Linked DNA regions of Anolis sagrei. The protein of the gene in region 2 interacts with the protein of the main gene of each other region in a pairwise test. Links are inferred from orthologs where the notes say so. Each region holds a gene or a part of one and is shown on either strand. Other genes may lie near its edges. The genes, in order: GNAI3 and GPSM3.

Evidence for each region.
Region 1: the proteins of GPSM3 (region 2) and GNAI3 interact in binary tests that used the Homo sapiens proteins (3 or more experiments, as listed by UniProt). The two-hybrid records come from large-scale screens. The link is inferred for Anolis sagrei from reciprocal best matches to the Homo sapiens genes GPSM3 and GNAI3.

What each region holds. Positions count from the first base shown.
Region 1 is NC_090024.1:184,493,653-184,501,376, reverse strand, and holds the start of GNAI3 (guanine nucleotide-binding protein G(i) subunit alpha-3), read left to right. Parts: upstream 1-4,458; 5' UTR 4,459-4,593; coding exon 4,594-4,711; intron 4,712-7,724. UniProt on the Homo sapiens protein: Heterotrimeric guanine nucleotide-binding proteins (G proteins) function as transducers downstream of G protein-coupled receptors (GPCRs) in numerous signaling cascades.
Region 2 is NC_090022.1:16,759,004-16,766,877, forward strand, and holds the start of GPSM3 (G-protein-signaling modulator 3), read left to right. Parts: upstream 1-4,807; 5' UTR 4,808-4,914; intron 4,915-7,874. UniProt on the Homo sapiens protein: Interacts with subunit of G(i) alpha proteins and regulates the activation of G(i) alpha proteins.

The DNA.
Region 1 (7,724 bases), on a different chromosome or scaffold from region 2:
TGAGAAAAGGACAGGCTTGTATACTCATCTTGTGTAAAGCTAAGATTTCTTTGATCCAGTCAAAGGTCCCCTATTCTTTTTACCTTCTTGGAAGCAGACAAATTGGGCTTATGAGCGCAAAAGGTGGTGGGTGCAATCACACTCATCTTAGAAGGTACCAAGAAAAACATTCTTCCTTTCCACATGGGACAATGATCTGTTTCTGCCTTAACTTCTACTAGAGCCTCAGTGAGCAGATACACACACTTGCTTTCACTATTCATTCAGATACAAAAATACAACACTGGGAGTGAATCTTTAAAAGTTGCTTAGAAGATCACATTGCAAATTCCTTTGCAAACTACTTTATAAATAAGAAGTTGCTATTTCCACATAGGTAAAATATTTGCCTATACAGTAGTTACTTTTATCCTTGTGTGAGTATGTGTAACTTTAAGGTCCCTGTCAATTTATGGGGACCTCATGAATTCTTTCGGATTTCCATAGGCAAGGGATACTCAGAGGTGATTTTGCCACTTCCTTTACCCTCATTATGGTAAGTAGGAAATCCCAACTTGTAGTTCTGATATGCATTCTCTAGATGGCAACACAGACCCAAAAATCTTTATTATAGCTGCATTTCCTGACAAAACTGGTTTAATTTATGTTTGTTCTCTGTCTGTGGGTACCAGTTACAAAGGATTCTTTTGTTTTTTTTTTCTTTGGGAAATTATGAGCCTCCACACCTACTTCTAAAGTAGGAGGGAGTGACAGATTTATCACCTGCAACAGGTGTCTCACTTTCTCCCTCCCAGTGTCAGGAAACTAATTCTGTACTCATTTTGTTTGGGACAAAAGACACAGTAAATGTTTTATAAATGTCTGCTTGTAGATAATACTCTGATAATCAGCTCCAAATAGAGAGGCAATCTTGATAAAGCTTAGAAAAGTCCCTTTTTTGGAGATCATATCCCAGTACCTACTAGATATTAGGATTATGGGATATGTAGTCCAGAAAAAGTATCTTTCCAAAGCTCTGATCTGGAGTAGGTATGCAGTATCCAGAAGCATGTGTGAGGCAATGTTCAGGTCAGCCAAATTATTTTCGTGCTAGATTCACCCTACACTAAAGTGATAACAATTCCTTATATTCATTCATAAAGAGGAAGCCCATGCCTCCTTCCCTCCTCTTCCATCATTGTCATCATCGTCATTAAAATATTTTCCCTCCACACAGAAATTCAGGCAAGAGGGAATAAGCAATCCTACAGAAAATTTATATGCACCCATCCCTTCACATTTGCATTTTTGACTTGTGAATTTGATTATTCATGGATCTGATTAAAATTGTCTCTGTAGGAATCTTGAAGTCTTCAAGTGTGTCTTTATAGCCACCTTCATCCAATCATGAATATCTCCCTAGGAATCTCTAAGTACTGCATTGCATTTCTATGGTCAGCTTCCAGTAGACAGTAAAATAAAGAGTTATGCTGAAAAATATAGAAATTCCTAGAGAGGTTCTATCTCTGGTTAAAAAAAATAGTAAATTCGTGTTTTTTCTCTTTCAGGGGGGGTCCCACTTCTATGACAGGCATCCTCAGAGGTTGTGAGATCTGTTGGAAACTAGGCAAGTGAGGTTTATATATCTGTGGAATGTCCAGGGTGGGAGAAACATTCCCTAGAAAAGGTCCCTAGAGGGCGACAGAACAGCCTGTACACCAACTTCTCTATTTTGGAGACTGGGTTATGAAATGGGAGGAAGAGTCACAATTTCCTTTTTAAGGGTTGTTCCTGTAACACACAATCCACAGACACATCCTGTTTCATTTATTTTTCTAGTTACAAATTGGACTCTTGTCCAATTGAGTGAGAGCAGAATGTTTAAGCCCCATAGTTCCAGAGGATTGTTAAGAAGATCCCAAAGACCCAAATGTTGGAAGTATTTTGTATTAAATTGAGCTACAGCTGTCAAGAGAGAAAAATAGCCTGCTGTCTGAGTGAGCATAGCCTCCTAGTATGTTCCTACTTAAGCCACCTGTGACTGGGCAAAGATACAGACAGTTGTGCATTTTGTTTCAGTCTCATGTCCATCCTTTTCTGCTGTCATCTTCTATTTCTCTCTATTGGTTTTTACAGTGGCTTTTCTTATCCCTTGATAAACAGTTGCATTTAGAATTCTGACTCTGTTTCTCTCCATTTTGCATTTACATTTCATCTGCCCTTAAGCTACTTGAAGAGTTTCATTTGTGGAAACTTTCTTTTCTTTGCTTTCACTCTCTTTTTTTGCTACAAAAGTGTCTTTTTGTATTCCTCCCCAACAAAGTCCCTGGCTTCAGATCTGGCTCTTGGTGAATTAGGCTTAATAGCGCAAATCTATTTCTACATTATATTTAAATTCTACAGTGATGTTCTTGGGTTGTATTCTGGCATGACAATTGGCTTAGTGTCCTTCAACTCTACTTCAGTTTTTGAAATTCATGGTCTGTGCCACATTCTGCTCCTGGTCTTGGGGTTTTTTGTTTGTTTGTTTGCAGAAAGAATGTATCTTCTCCATTTTCTGCATCCAGATATGTACTTTATATATGTAATTTTCTGGTTCAAAACGTCCTATTCTTGTCCACTGTAATTTGTTCACCCCAAGTATTGCAAGGTTGATACATTCAATTCCCTGGTTAATGTTTCTCACAATCCACTTTCCTATAACATGTGCAGCCTCAGACTTCCTTTTTACCTTTCATCATGTCAACAGCTGACAAGTCCCTTTGACTTGAATCCAGTTTAGTTTGGCTCCAAATAAAAAAATTGTCAGACATGGGAGCCCATACCAGCACCATTGCTTCCACCAGCATAGCCTATTTGCCATGGCTCAATGTTAGGGAATCCTGGGAATTGCAGATTGGGAAGGCTGGGCAGAGAAGGCTCATGACCTTATACAACCTCCATGATTCCACGACTACAATTATGTAGTTATAGTTTCAGTTATTCTATAACTACATGATTCTGTAATAGGCCTGGGCAAATTCGGGCCCTTTCTCCAGGTGTTTTGGACTTCAACTCCCACAATTCCTAACAGCCTCATGCCCCTTCCTTTTTCCCTGAGGCTGTTAGGAATTGTGGAAGTTGAAGTCCAAAACACATGGAGAGATGGCCCAAGTTTGTCCATGCCTGGTATATACCCATGTGTACGTCAACCTCATGTATAAGTCAACCTCATGTATGGCTGTTGGGAATGGTGGGAGTTGAAGTCCAAAGGGGCCTAAGGTGAAAAAGGAAGGGGCCTGAGGCTGCTGAAGTCCAAAAGTGGCTGAGCGGGGAAAAGAAAGAGCCTGAGGCTGTTAGACATGGTGGGAATTGGAGTCCAAAGGGGCCTAAGGTGAAAAAGGAAGGGGCCTGAGGCTGCTGAAGTCCAAAAGTGGCTGAGAGGGGAAAAGGAAAGGGCCTGAGGCTGTTAAGAATGGTGGGAGTTGAAGTCCAAAGGGGCCTAAGGCGGAAAAGGAAAGGGCCTGAGGCTGCTGAAGTCCAAAAGTGGCTGACAGGGAAAAGGAAAGGGCCTGAGGCTGTTAGGAATGGTGGGAGTTGAAGTCCAAAGGGGCCTAAGGAGAAAAAGGAAGGGGCCTGAGGCTGCTGAAGTCCAAAAGTGGCTGAGCGGGGAAAAGAAAGAGCCTGAGGCTGTTAGACATGGTGGGAATTGGAGTCCAAAGGGGCCTAAGGTGAAAAAGGAAAGGGCCTGGGGCTGCTGAAGTCCACAAGTGGCTGAGGAGGGAAGGGAAAGGGCCTGAGGCTGTTAGGAATGATGGGAGTTGAAGTCCAAAGGGGACTGAGGCAGAAAAAGAAAGGGCCTGAGGCTGCTAGGAATGGTGGGACTTGAAGTCCAAAGGGGCCTGAGGCGGAAAAGGAAGAGGCCTGAGGCTGCTGAAGTCCAAAAGTGGCTGAGAGGGAAAAGGAAAGGGCCCGAGGCTGTTAGGAATGGTGGGAGTTGAAGTCCAAAGGGGCCTAAGGTGAAAAAGGAAGGGGCCTGAGGCTGCTTAAGTCCAAAAATGGCTGAGAGGGGAAAAAGAAAGGGCCTGAGGCTGTTAGGAATGGTGGGAGTTGGAGTCCAGAGGGGCCTGAGGCAGAAAAGGAAGGGGCCTGAGGCTGTTAGGAATGGTGGGAGTTGAAGTCCAAAACACCTGGAAGGAGGGTCCAAGTTTGACCATGCCTGTTCTATAGTTATAGTTATGGACTCCTGCGCCTGTAAGATCACAAGCCTTCAATGTTTCCCAAACGCTGGTTTCGCAGGTATTTTGGACTTCAGCTCCCTAGAACCCCTGACCATGGTCCAAAGCAGCTGAGGCGTTCTGGGAGCTGAAGTCCAAAACATATTGGAGAACTATTGTTTAACAAAACCCCGGGGTTGTTCTTCAACTACATTTCCCAAGATGCACTTCGCCTTTCGTCGGTCGGTCTGGAGTAGAGGAGCGGAAGCAGGCCAGTTTCCGGTGCCTCTCTCGTTCCGGCCCCTCCCTTCCCCGTTGCCTCCCAACTCGAGTCGCGGCGACCGTTGAGGAGAGAGAGAGCGAGAGAGAGGCAGAGAGGCGCCGCCTAAGGCCTCTCCCGTCCCTCACCGCCGCCGCCATGGGCTGCACGCTGAGCGCCGAGGACAAGGCGGCGGTCGAGCGGAGCCGCATGATCGACCGCAACCTCCGCGAAGACGGGGAAAAGGCGGCCAAGGAGGTGAAGCTGCTCCTGTTGGGTGAGGAGAAGGAGAAGGAGGAGAAGGGTGGGGCCGGGGCCTTAGGCGGGGGGAAGGCGGCGGTTAGGCCCAAGCCACGCTCTTCGCCCCGGTACAGTTCGCAAGGGCCTGAGACCCAGCCCTGCTCGAGCACAGTTTGAATTCGTCCAGCCTGGCCCCACTTCAGCCGCCATGTCTCCGTGCTACAGGATCAGGGGAGTCGTGGCGTTGCGAGGTCTTGGGCCTTCTCTGCCAAAGGCTTGTGGGGCCTCTCCGAACCACAACACCCAGGAGTCCATCCATAGTAGGCTTGGGAAAACTTGGGCCCTCCAGGTGTTTTGGACTTCAACTCCCATCATTCTTGACAGCCTCAGGCCCCTTCCTTTTCCCCCAAAGGGGCCTAAGGCGGAAAAGGAAAGGGCCTGAGGCTGCTGAAGTCCAAAAGTGGCTGACAGGGAAAAGGAAAGGGCCTGAGGCTGTCAGGAATGGTGGGAGTTGAAGTCCAAAACACCTGGAGGGCCCAACTTTGCCCATGCCTAATATAGAGGGACATAGCCTGATCCATAGCCGTGAACCGCATTAGTTGAAAGGGATGTCAGACCCCATTGATTCTACAGTGTAGATCAGGCATGGGCAAGCTTCGGACTTCAACTCCCATAATTCCCAACAGCCCTTAGATCACTTTTGTTTTGAATACACACCGCTTGAAGGTGATTTTATGTAAAATTTTAAATTTGGTGTGTATTTATATAAATAAAAATGTAATGTTTGTTTGTGGGATTAACATAACTCAAAAACCACAGGAAATTTTGACGCCAGATTTGGGCACAATACACTTATCAGACCAATGAGTGACAGTCACTCATTAAAACACATCAGAAGAGACTTAAAAAGCCAAAAAACTAAATACATTACAATGCATGCGCAAAACCACATATATACACAAATATGTACACACAGATATACGCATATACACACACAAAACACATATACACAGACTAGGCCACAGCAACATGTGGCAGGGGATGGCTAGTGTGATATATACAGACACATACATACATAGATACACCCTGCATTTTCCTGGGTGTTCATTTTTCTTTGTGGCTCTTCTTTGCCTTCATCCACCTTCTTCCTTAATAATAATACTTGTTGTGTGTTGAAGGCTTTCAAATACTTTATTTGTAGCCCAGAGCCCCCGGTGTCACAGTGGGTTAAACTGCTGAGCTGCTGAACTTGCTGACCAAAAGGTCCGTGTTTCGAATCTGGAGAGCAAGGTGAGCTCTCACTGTTCGCCCCAGCTTCTGCCAGCCTAGCAGTTCGAAATTATGCAAATGCGAGTAGATCAACAGGTACCACTTCAGCAGGAAGGCAACTGCGCTCCATGCTGTCATGCTCCATGCAGTCCATGCATCTATGGACAGAAATGACGATGAGGTCTACTGCCAAAGTCGGACATGACTAGACTTTATGTCAAGGGGAAACCTTTACCTTTATTTGTAGTCCGCCCTATCTCCCTTAGGGGACACAGGACGGCTTCCAACATAATAAAAGCAAACATTCAATGCCTGTATGAAACAAAGTAAAAATATAGACAACAAGTAAGACAATACATTACACAAGTTAAAACAAGTAATTTAAATAATGATAAGTGAAAGCGAATGCCTTCCTTCACTTTCCATTTATACACCTTCCCCTTCTTCTTTCCTTTCTCTTCCATTTTTCTACCCTCCCCTCATACCTTTCCCTCGCTTCCTTCCTTTTTTCTCCCCCTCCATTGCTTACTTTCGCTTCTTTTCTCCCCTCCCCCTACATATGTCTTCTAGTATGAGCTAATCAGCTTCACTCCTCCTTTCTATCCCAGTCACATGGACAGAGGGCCACTGCACCTAGCAACAGCCAATCCACTTTGTGTCTTTTCGTTCCCTCAGCTCTGTGCCAAAAAATGGGTGGGTTCTTTTTAATTCAAACTCATTATTTTAAGTTGGATAATGAACGGTACGTGTGCCAAGTTTTGTCCAGATGCATCAAGCCTTTGTGGTACAAATCAGTCAACTAACATGTATGCATATGTCCATTCTTTGACTTAGATCAATTGTTCCCAACCTTTTTTTGACCAGGGACCACTCCAACATTAGTACCAAAAGGGTTACGAATCAGTTTTTGGTCAACTTCAGATTTGGTTTGGTTATTTGGCGTGCTGATTCAAAAAACTGCATTGGAGAGACCACATCAACTCTAGTTTCTGATCCAGAACATATGCCATCCAGTAGTTGCTATCTGCTAGCCCAAAAAAAAAAACCATATTAAAAAAGCCTCAGCAATATAAGAGAGTTTTGCGAGACCCGTCGCTCTCGTTGCAACGATGTGGTAATAGTGAGACCTTAAACCTTATTTTAGTTCTTGCGGACCACAGGTTATATATATCATCTTGTTCAATCTGTGCAAAAGGAAAAACTTCCCAAATGTCAGAAATGTGGCACTTCTTATAATAAAGGAAAACCAGTTCCTACCCACACAGGGTTTGCTTGAAGCTATCATCTGCTTTCCCCATGGTTCCCTGAAAATCTTTGCTAAGAAATACAAGATTCAGACTTTTCCACATTTACATATAAAGTGTGATGGCAGGGGAGTAGATTGTTGAGATACTGAGTAGGTTAGACTTTGTTTGAAGCATGGTGGTTTGGATGTTGATGTTTGTAGGCTGTAGCAACATCATCCTGCCTGTGACCTTAACTACAGAGTTAATGATCCACTGTAACTTTTTTTAAGTCACTGTTTTCCTCCCAAATTATTTTTTGTTTAATAAATGCGTATTCCTTTTTTGGGGTGTGTAGTTTGAAGCTCTCACATTTATGTTTTAAAGATCCTGTAATGTCTCATCTCACTGTAGTACACACATGGTTTTAAAGGGAGAACCAATTGAAAGTTATTTAGAACATACTGGGTGTGATGTGTGCCTGCTGGCTGCTCCTCCTCGAACTATGCAATACAAGTTAGGGTGAAAACAAGAAGTTAACCACAGGTAGAAAATCCA
Region 2 (7,874 bases):
ATAACACCAAATTGGGAGGCATAGCTAATACCCCAGAAGACAGGAGCAGAATTCAAAATGATCTGAACATATTAGAGAGATGATTGGCCAAAACTAACAAAATGAAGTTCAACAGGGACAAATGCAAGATACCCCACTTGGGCAGGAAAAATGAAGTTCAAAGATACAGAATGGGGGACGCATGACTCAAGAGCAGTACATGTTAAAAAGATCTTGGAGTCCTCATGGACAAAAAGTTAAACATGAGCCAACAATGTCATGCGGCAGCAAGAAAAGCTAATGGGATTTTGGCCTGCATAAAGAGGAGTATAGTGTCTAGATCCAGGGAAGTCATGCTATCCCTCTATCCTGCCTTGATAAAACCACATCTGGAATACTGTGTCCAATTCTGGGCACCACAATTGAAGGGAGATGTTGACAAGCTGGAATGTGTCCAGAGGAGGGCGACTAAAACGATCAAGGGTCTGGAGAACAAGCCCTATGAAGAGCAGCTTAAAGAGATGGGCATGTTTAGCCTGGAGAAGGCTGAGAGGAGACATGATGGCCATGTATAAATATGTGAGGAGAAGTCATACGGGGGGGGGGGGGGGAGCAGGCTTGTTTTCTGCTGTCTTGGAGAATGGGAAGCAATGGAACAATGACTTCAAACTACAAGAAGGGAGATTCCACCTGAACATTAGGAAGAACTTCCTGACTGTGAGAGCTGTTCAGCAGTGGAACTCTCTGCCCCAGAGTGTGGTGGAGGCTCCTCCTTTGGAGGCTTTTAAACAGAGGCTGGATGGCCATCTGTCGGGGGTGCTTTGAATGCAATTTTTCTGCTTCTTGGCAGAATGGGGTTGGGCTGGATGGCCCATGAGGTCTCTTCCAACTCTTTGATTCTATGATTTTAATCTAAAATTACAAAATCAAAGTATGCTTTTTGGATTGTTTAAAATATGTTTTCAAGTTGTGGATTATGGAATCTATAGCTGCAGAATCCCTGGATACAGAGGGTGGATTTACTTATGCTTTTTATATATACCTATACACTTAACAGAAAGGCAGTGTGGTACCCAATAATATTAATAATTTTGTGCACTAAACAAAGTTAGTGCTCATTGAGCCATTAGAAAGCAAAGGCATCACTCTCTCAGCTACCCTTGTGGATTATTTCAGATTCTGGAGACTTAACTTCCATTAGGTATTTTGGCAGAAGATAGATTTCAATGTTCTGAGCTGCTATTCTGAAAATCAGGCCATATTGGGAAATAGCCATGATGAAATGGGCAAATCTTTGCGTAGCTGCTTTCTGCAGCTGTTTATCTCCAGAATCCTGCAAATCTTTTGGGAAGACAGGCAGATCAATGTCAGCATGCTGGAAGAAGCAAAATCACCAGCACTGAAATGATGCTCCTATGCCATCAACTCTGCTGGCGTGGCCACGTTGTCCAAATGCCCAAAGATCACCATCTCCCAAAGCAGAAGCAACTTGAGAAACTTTGTGTCAGGAGCGCCTTGAGAAACTGCAAGTCATTTCTGGTGTGAGAGAATTTGCCGTCAGCAAGGACGTTGCCCAGGAGAATCTTGGATGTTTGTTGTTTTACCATCCTTGTGGGAGGCTTCACTCATGTCCCCCACATGGGGAGCTGGAGCTGACAGAGGGAGCTCAACCCGCTCTTCCTGGATTCGAACACTGACCTGTCAGTCAGCAGTCCTGCCAGCACAAGGATTTTATTCATTGCACCACTGGAGGCTCCATTCCTAAAGCAGTTACTATACTCCCAACTGAAGAATGAAAAACATAATGTTGGTGGACAGGAAAAGAGATTTTAAAATGGGCTTAAAGCTAACCTTTAAAAACTGGCATAGACACAGCGAACTGGGAAGCCCTGGCCCTTGAGCACCCTAACTGGAGGTCCAACAAAGATTAAGCCAAGAGGATCTTTAAATTGGGACTATAATTATGTGTGCATGTTTTTAACCAACTTGGTTCCAGGAGCAGATATTGGCTTGCTGGCAGGACAAATGCTCCTCCTGCAGAAAGTCCTGAATTCATAGTCTTTAGCTTGCTCTGCTAAAACTACGGGGCCCCGGGTGATGGCACAACCCTAGGGTGCCTGTGCCAGGCAGTCAGCAGGTCCAGCTGTGCCATCTGACAGAGCAAAGTGGATGCCTGAGGCCAACACTCCTACAAGTCATGAGAGGGCAGCAAATTGCAACTGGTTACATTGATTTGCACTGTGTTGCAAATCACCTCCAAGGGAGAGATGTTTGTAGGAATTTACGCCTTGGGTGTCAAAATAATTTGATCAACATCAGGATCTTGGTACTTTGCATAGCAGCGATGAAGTGGTCCAGCGTCATTCATATTTTGCTGGAGGTCCTGCCAGTCATAGCAGAGATGTAGATTATCTGGCATTTATAAGAAAACAGTTTTCCAGTGTTTATCCTGTTGCTGATATGGCATGGGATTGATCGCATGCCTGTTTTAAGCATGTCTCCTCCACTGAATGAAGGTTTTTATTCTCAGTTTTAACCCTGTAGTACTTCGCTCTGAGCTGCAAGCAAAAGATGCTATTATTCTGTTGTTGAAGGCTTTCATGGGTCTTCAGAATCACTGGATTGCTGTGAGGTTTCTGGCTGTCTGGCTATGTTCCAGAAGCATTCTCTCCCAACGTTGCACCCACATCTATGTCAGGCATCCTCAGAGGTTATGAGGTCTGTTGGAAACTAGGAAAATGAGGTTTATTTATTTATTTATTTTATTTCAATTACTTTTACCCCACCCTTCTCACCCCAAGGGGGAACTCAGGGCGGCTTACAGACGAAGGCACAATTCGATGCCTGAATCAACTAACAAATAATACAGAAAAACAATTCAAACAGTTAACAAATTAAAAACATCAATACATAATAACATAGCAAAACAATCTCATGCTCAGTGTTCAGAGTCCGTATATCTATTCCATTGCATCTGTCCTTATTTATCGTCAGATTCTTTAGCTGCCAGAATGTCCAAAGGCTTGGTCCCAAATCCAGGTCTTCAGTTTTTTCCTGAACGTCAAAAGGGAAGTCGCTGATCTAATCTCCCCAGGGAGTGAGTTCCACAGGTGAGGGGCCACCACTGAGAAGGCCCTGCTCCTCGTCCCCGCCAACCTCACTTGTGATAGTGGCGGGGTTGAGAGCAGGGCCTCCCCAGATGATATACCTGTGGGATGTCTGGGGAGGGAGAAAGACCTCTTGTCTGCTTGATAAAATACAGCTATATTTATTGTTTTTGTTGATGCTATTATTATTATATTAATTATTATATTAATTATTATTATATTTATTATTATTATTTGAAACACAACAAGATGAGTCCACAGCAGACACTCTGCTGGCTGTTGTATTGGATGACACATCGGACACTTCCCAATTGTCTAGGACTGTGTGATGTATCGGCGAATAATGTGTGCAGATCCCAGTAAGGTGGCCTTCTGCAGCTGGCAGATGGTAATTTTGTCAGTGCCGATTGTGTTTAAGTGCAGGCCAAGGTCTTTAGGCATTGCACCCAGTGTGCCAATCACCACTGGGACCCCCTTTACTGGCTTGTTCCAGAGTCTTTGCAGTTCAATCTTTAAATCCTCATATCGTGTCAGCTTTTCCAGTTGTTTCTCTTCACTCCTGCTGCCACCTGGGATTGCAACATCGACAATCCATACTTTGTTTTTTAACACAATTGTGAGGTCAGGAGTTCTTCTTCTTCTTCTTCTTCTTCTTCTTCTTCTTATTATTATTATTATTATTATTATTATTATCCGCTGGATAATGGAGAAAGGCAGGGAGTTTCAGAACAACATCTATTTCTGTTTTATTGACTATTCTAAAAGTGTTGACTGTGTGGATCATAATAAATTGTGGCAAGTTGATGGTATGGGGATACCAAGTACCCTTGTCTGTCTCCTGAGGAATCTGTATAACAACTATGTAGCAACAGTAAAAACAGAATGGTTCAAGATTTGGAAAGGAGTATGGCAGGGCTGTCTACTCTCACCCACCCTACTTAACATATCATGCAACTTGCAGGGCTTGATGAATCCAAGGATGGAGTTAAAATTGCTGGAAGAAACATTAACAACCTTAGATATGCAGACGATACCATTTTGAAGGCTGAAAGAGTGGAGAAGATGAGGAGCCTTCTAACCAAGCTGAAAAAAGAAAGTGCAAAAGCTGGGTTGCAGTTAAACATTTAAAAAACCAAGATTATGACAACCAGGCTGATCCATGAGGTCATGAAGAGATGCTATTTTAAATTGTAAGTCGCTCAGACCACCTTGCTGGAGAGCGACTAATTAAGAAATAAAGTGAAGCGAAGTGAAGTGAAGGTGATCAGTTGAAACATTCACACCTAGCTCCAGCAGGGAAGAGCTCCTTGCCCCACCCCAGCCATTCCACAGATATATAAACCCATTGTCCTAATTCCAACAGACCTCACTACCTCTAAGGATGCTTGCCATAGATGCAAGCGAAACGTCAGGAGAAATGCCTCTAGAACATGGCTCTATAGCCCGAAAAAACCCACAAGAACCTAGTGATTCCAGCCATGAAAGCCTTCGACAATACATTGAAGTGAAGTCACTTCATTCTGAGAAAGCTTCACACACCTGGCTCTTTCGCTTGTCTCATTGGTTTTGAGACCAATGGGAAGAGAGACAGAAAGAAAGTTGGCGTGAGAAACATACTATATAGCAAGAGCAGGAAGCGGTAGTAGCTTCCCGTGTAGAAATAAGAGGCGTAGCCAGCCAAACAGATCAAGCAAAACCAAGAAGGAAGGAGAAAAGTGACAGTAGGCTGAGTCTCCTGAAGACAAAGCAACAGTCACACAAAAGAGAAGGAAGATGGTCATTTGGCACAGGCGCCAGTGGTGGAAATAATACGAGAGGGGCACAAAAGGTGAGCACAATGGTAAAAATGGGATTTCCAAGACTGGAGTGATCAGTAGCCAAGAATGGGTGAGTCTATAGAATGAATGCAGTTTGATGCCCCTTTTACCACTTGATCAATGCTATAGAATCAAAGGGAGCTGTAGTTTTACAAGGTCTTTAGTCTTTTCTGTCAAAGAGTATTGGTTCCTCACCAAATTCCAAATTACATGATTCCATAGCGTTGAGCTAAGGCAGTGAAAGTGGCATCAAACTGCATTCATTCTATATTGAAGATACACTCAAGGTAGCTGGGTGTTGTGGAAGTATAATGAGTTATTTGTTTTTTTGGCTCAATGCTATGGTATCTTGGGAGCTGTCATTTGATGAGGCACCAGCACTCTGATGGAGAAGGATCAAGACCTTGTAAAACTTCAACTCCCATGATTTGATGTCATTCTATTTTTAACTACTGGAGCTTTATTTATTAGCTAAGACAGTAGTTCTCAACCTTCCTAATGCCATGACTCCTTAATACAGTTCTTCATGTTGTGATGACCCCCAAACATAAAATTATTTTCATTTCTACTTCACAACTGTAATTTTGCTACTGTTCTGAATCGTAATGTAAATATCTGATATGCAGGATGTATTTTCATTTACAGGATGAAATTAGGCACAAATACCCAATATGCCCAAATTTGAATACTGGTGGGGTTGCGAGGGGGGGGGGGATAGATTTCATAATTTGGGAGTTGTAGTTGCTGGGATTTATAGTTCACCTAATCAAAGAGCATTCTGAACTATGTGGCCAGCATGACTGCATGGGTCACTGTTACCTTCCCACCAAGGTGGTACCTATTGATCAACTCACATGTGCATGTTTTTGAACTGCTAGGTTGGCAGAAGCTGGGCCTAATAGCGGAAGCTCACCCTGCTCCCTAGATTTGAACTGCCAACTTTTCAGTCAGCAAGTTCAGCAGCTCAGTGGTTTAAACCTTTGTGCAATCAGGGGGCCCACCGCCTGGTATTGTATGCAAATTGTAATATGACACTATATAGTGAAATAAGCATGTGCAATGCCAACTAGTTGATGTAACCATTTTCATATTGAGCAAAAAAAAAACAAAACACCCAAGTATTTCACACATAACCAGTTAGGATCTTTGTATGCTGATGAAGGGAAAATCTGATGCTATAAATATCATGTTGAAACTTTTGCTCAGCATTTGGTCCTTTGAGAAATCTCTCTGAGTTTAGGCCTTCTTGCAAATTGCTGTCCGGAAGCTGCTGAGTGATTTCCAATATTTGGTGTGATCATGGACCTGATGCACCGAGCAAGGAATTTGCCAGCTCTAATAATAATAATAATAATAATAATAATAATAATAATAATAATCCCAGTGGTGATCAGCACACAAGGTGCAGTGCCTAAAGGCCTTGGCCTGAACTTAAACACAATCGACGCTGACAAAATTACCATTTGTCAGCTGCAAAAGGCCACCCTACTGGGATCCGAACACATTATTCACTGATTGGGAAATGTCCAACATGTGATCTAATACGACAACCAGCGCTGCGTACTAATCCTGCTGTGTTTCTAATAATATTAATATTAAGAATAATAGTAATAGTAATAGTAATAATGTTATTTGTTACCCATCTCCTCATGTCTCAATGCAGGACACAACACATAATGCATCCCCATAAAATCCATACAATAACATGCATGCATTAAAGCACATTTCTATAAAATGCACATATTAAAATGCAGGGTACAAATATTGCAATGCAATAATGATAAATTTAAAATTCATGATTTAAAACTGGGTTTAGTGGCCATATTCCAAACCCCCTAAAAACCCCAAAATCCTAAGCACATCTGTTCTGAAGCATTGTGGCAAGGGGATTCCTGTTTAGTTATCATCTATTGCTGACCCTTTTGGATTATACACCTTATTTCCTTAGACCTGAATTTTCCATATACCTTTAATGTATTTTTACAGTAAACTGATTGCTTATACTCAGGACTCTTGTGTGGTGCTGTGGTCATCGGTGGCTTCAGGCCTGGGGTGCAACACTCAAATACAAGTTGATACCACTGTGAGTTGTATTTTGTTGCATCACCAGCTATCTTGGGCAGAGATGACGAAAGGTCTTGTAAAACTATGGCTTCCAGGATTCAATAGCATTGACCCATGGCAATTAAAGTGGTGTCCAACTGTATTAATTCTAAAGCATATATGGTGTGTGGGTGGGAGCTTAATCATTTTGGCTTCACCACGGTTCCACTTGGATTTGGGGCTTTCATGCTTGTGATTCGGGATGATAAAGGGGGGAAATGGACATTAAGAGGAACATTCCTTCCATGAACAGTCGTGGGCAGAGGTAAAATGTGAAAGCCTTTTCTTCCATGACATTGCCCCGTGAAGGCAATTTGCATCCTTGTAACCAACTCATATCACACTTGGTTGGGTCCAACAGTGTGAAATATTCACCCACAACGGTTGCATTGCAATCCACAGGAGAGTTTTCTGTTGCTTCCTGCTGCCTGGGGAGGAAAAAATACCTTATGTGAGGCACTGCTTGCAACACCTTGAACTCTGTGACTTCCCAAGCGGTTGCAAAACATCTCTTTTCCCAAGTGCCTTTTATTTGCCATAGCAAAGAGATTCTGAGCATGTGCAGAGTCAGCATCAACTGCAACGTTTTTGGCAACGTTGAAATATTTCTAATGGTGATGATCACACAATTCATGTGGCTTCTAGCTGACTCTGACATGTGAGAAGTTTCTAGGAATGATTTATTCCAAGTAGGTTCAATAGCTCCTTCCTCTTAGGGCAGTGTTTCTCAACCTTACTAATGCCACGACCCCTTAATACAGTTCCTCACGTTGTGGTGACCCCCAACCATAATATTATTTTCATTGCTACTTCTTAACTGTAATTTTGCTCCTGTTATGAATCATCATGTAAATATCTGATATGCAGG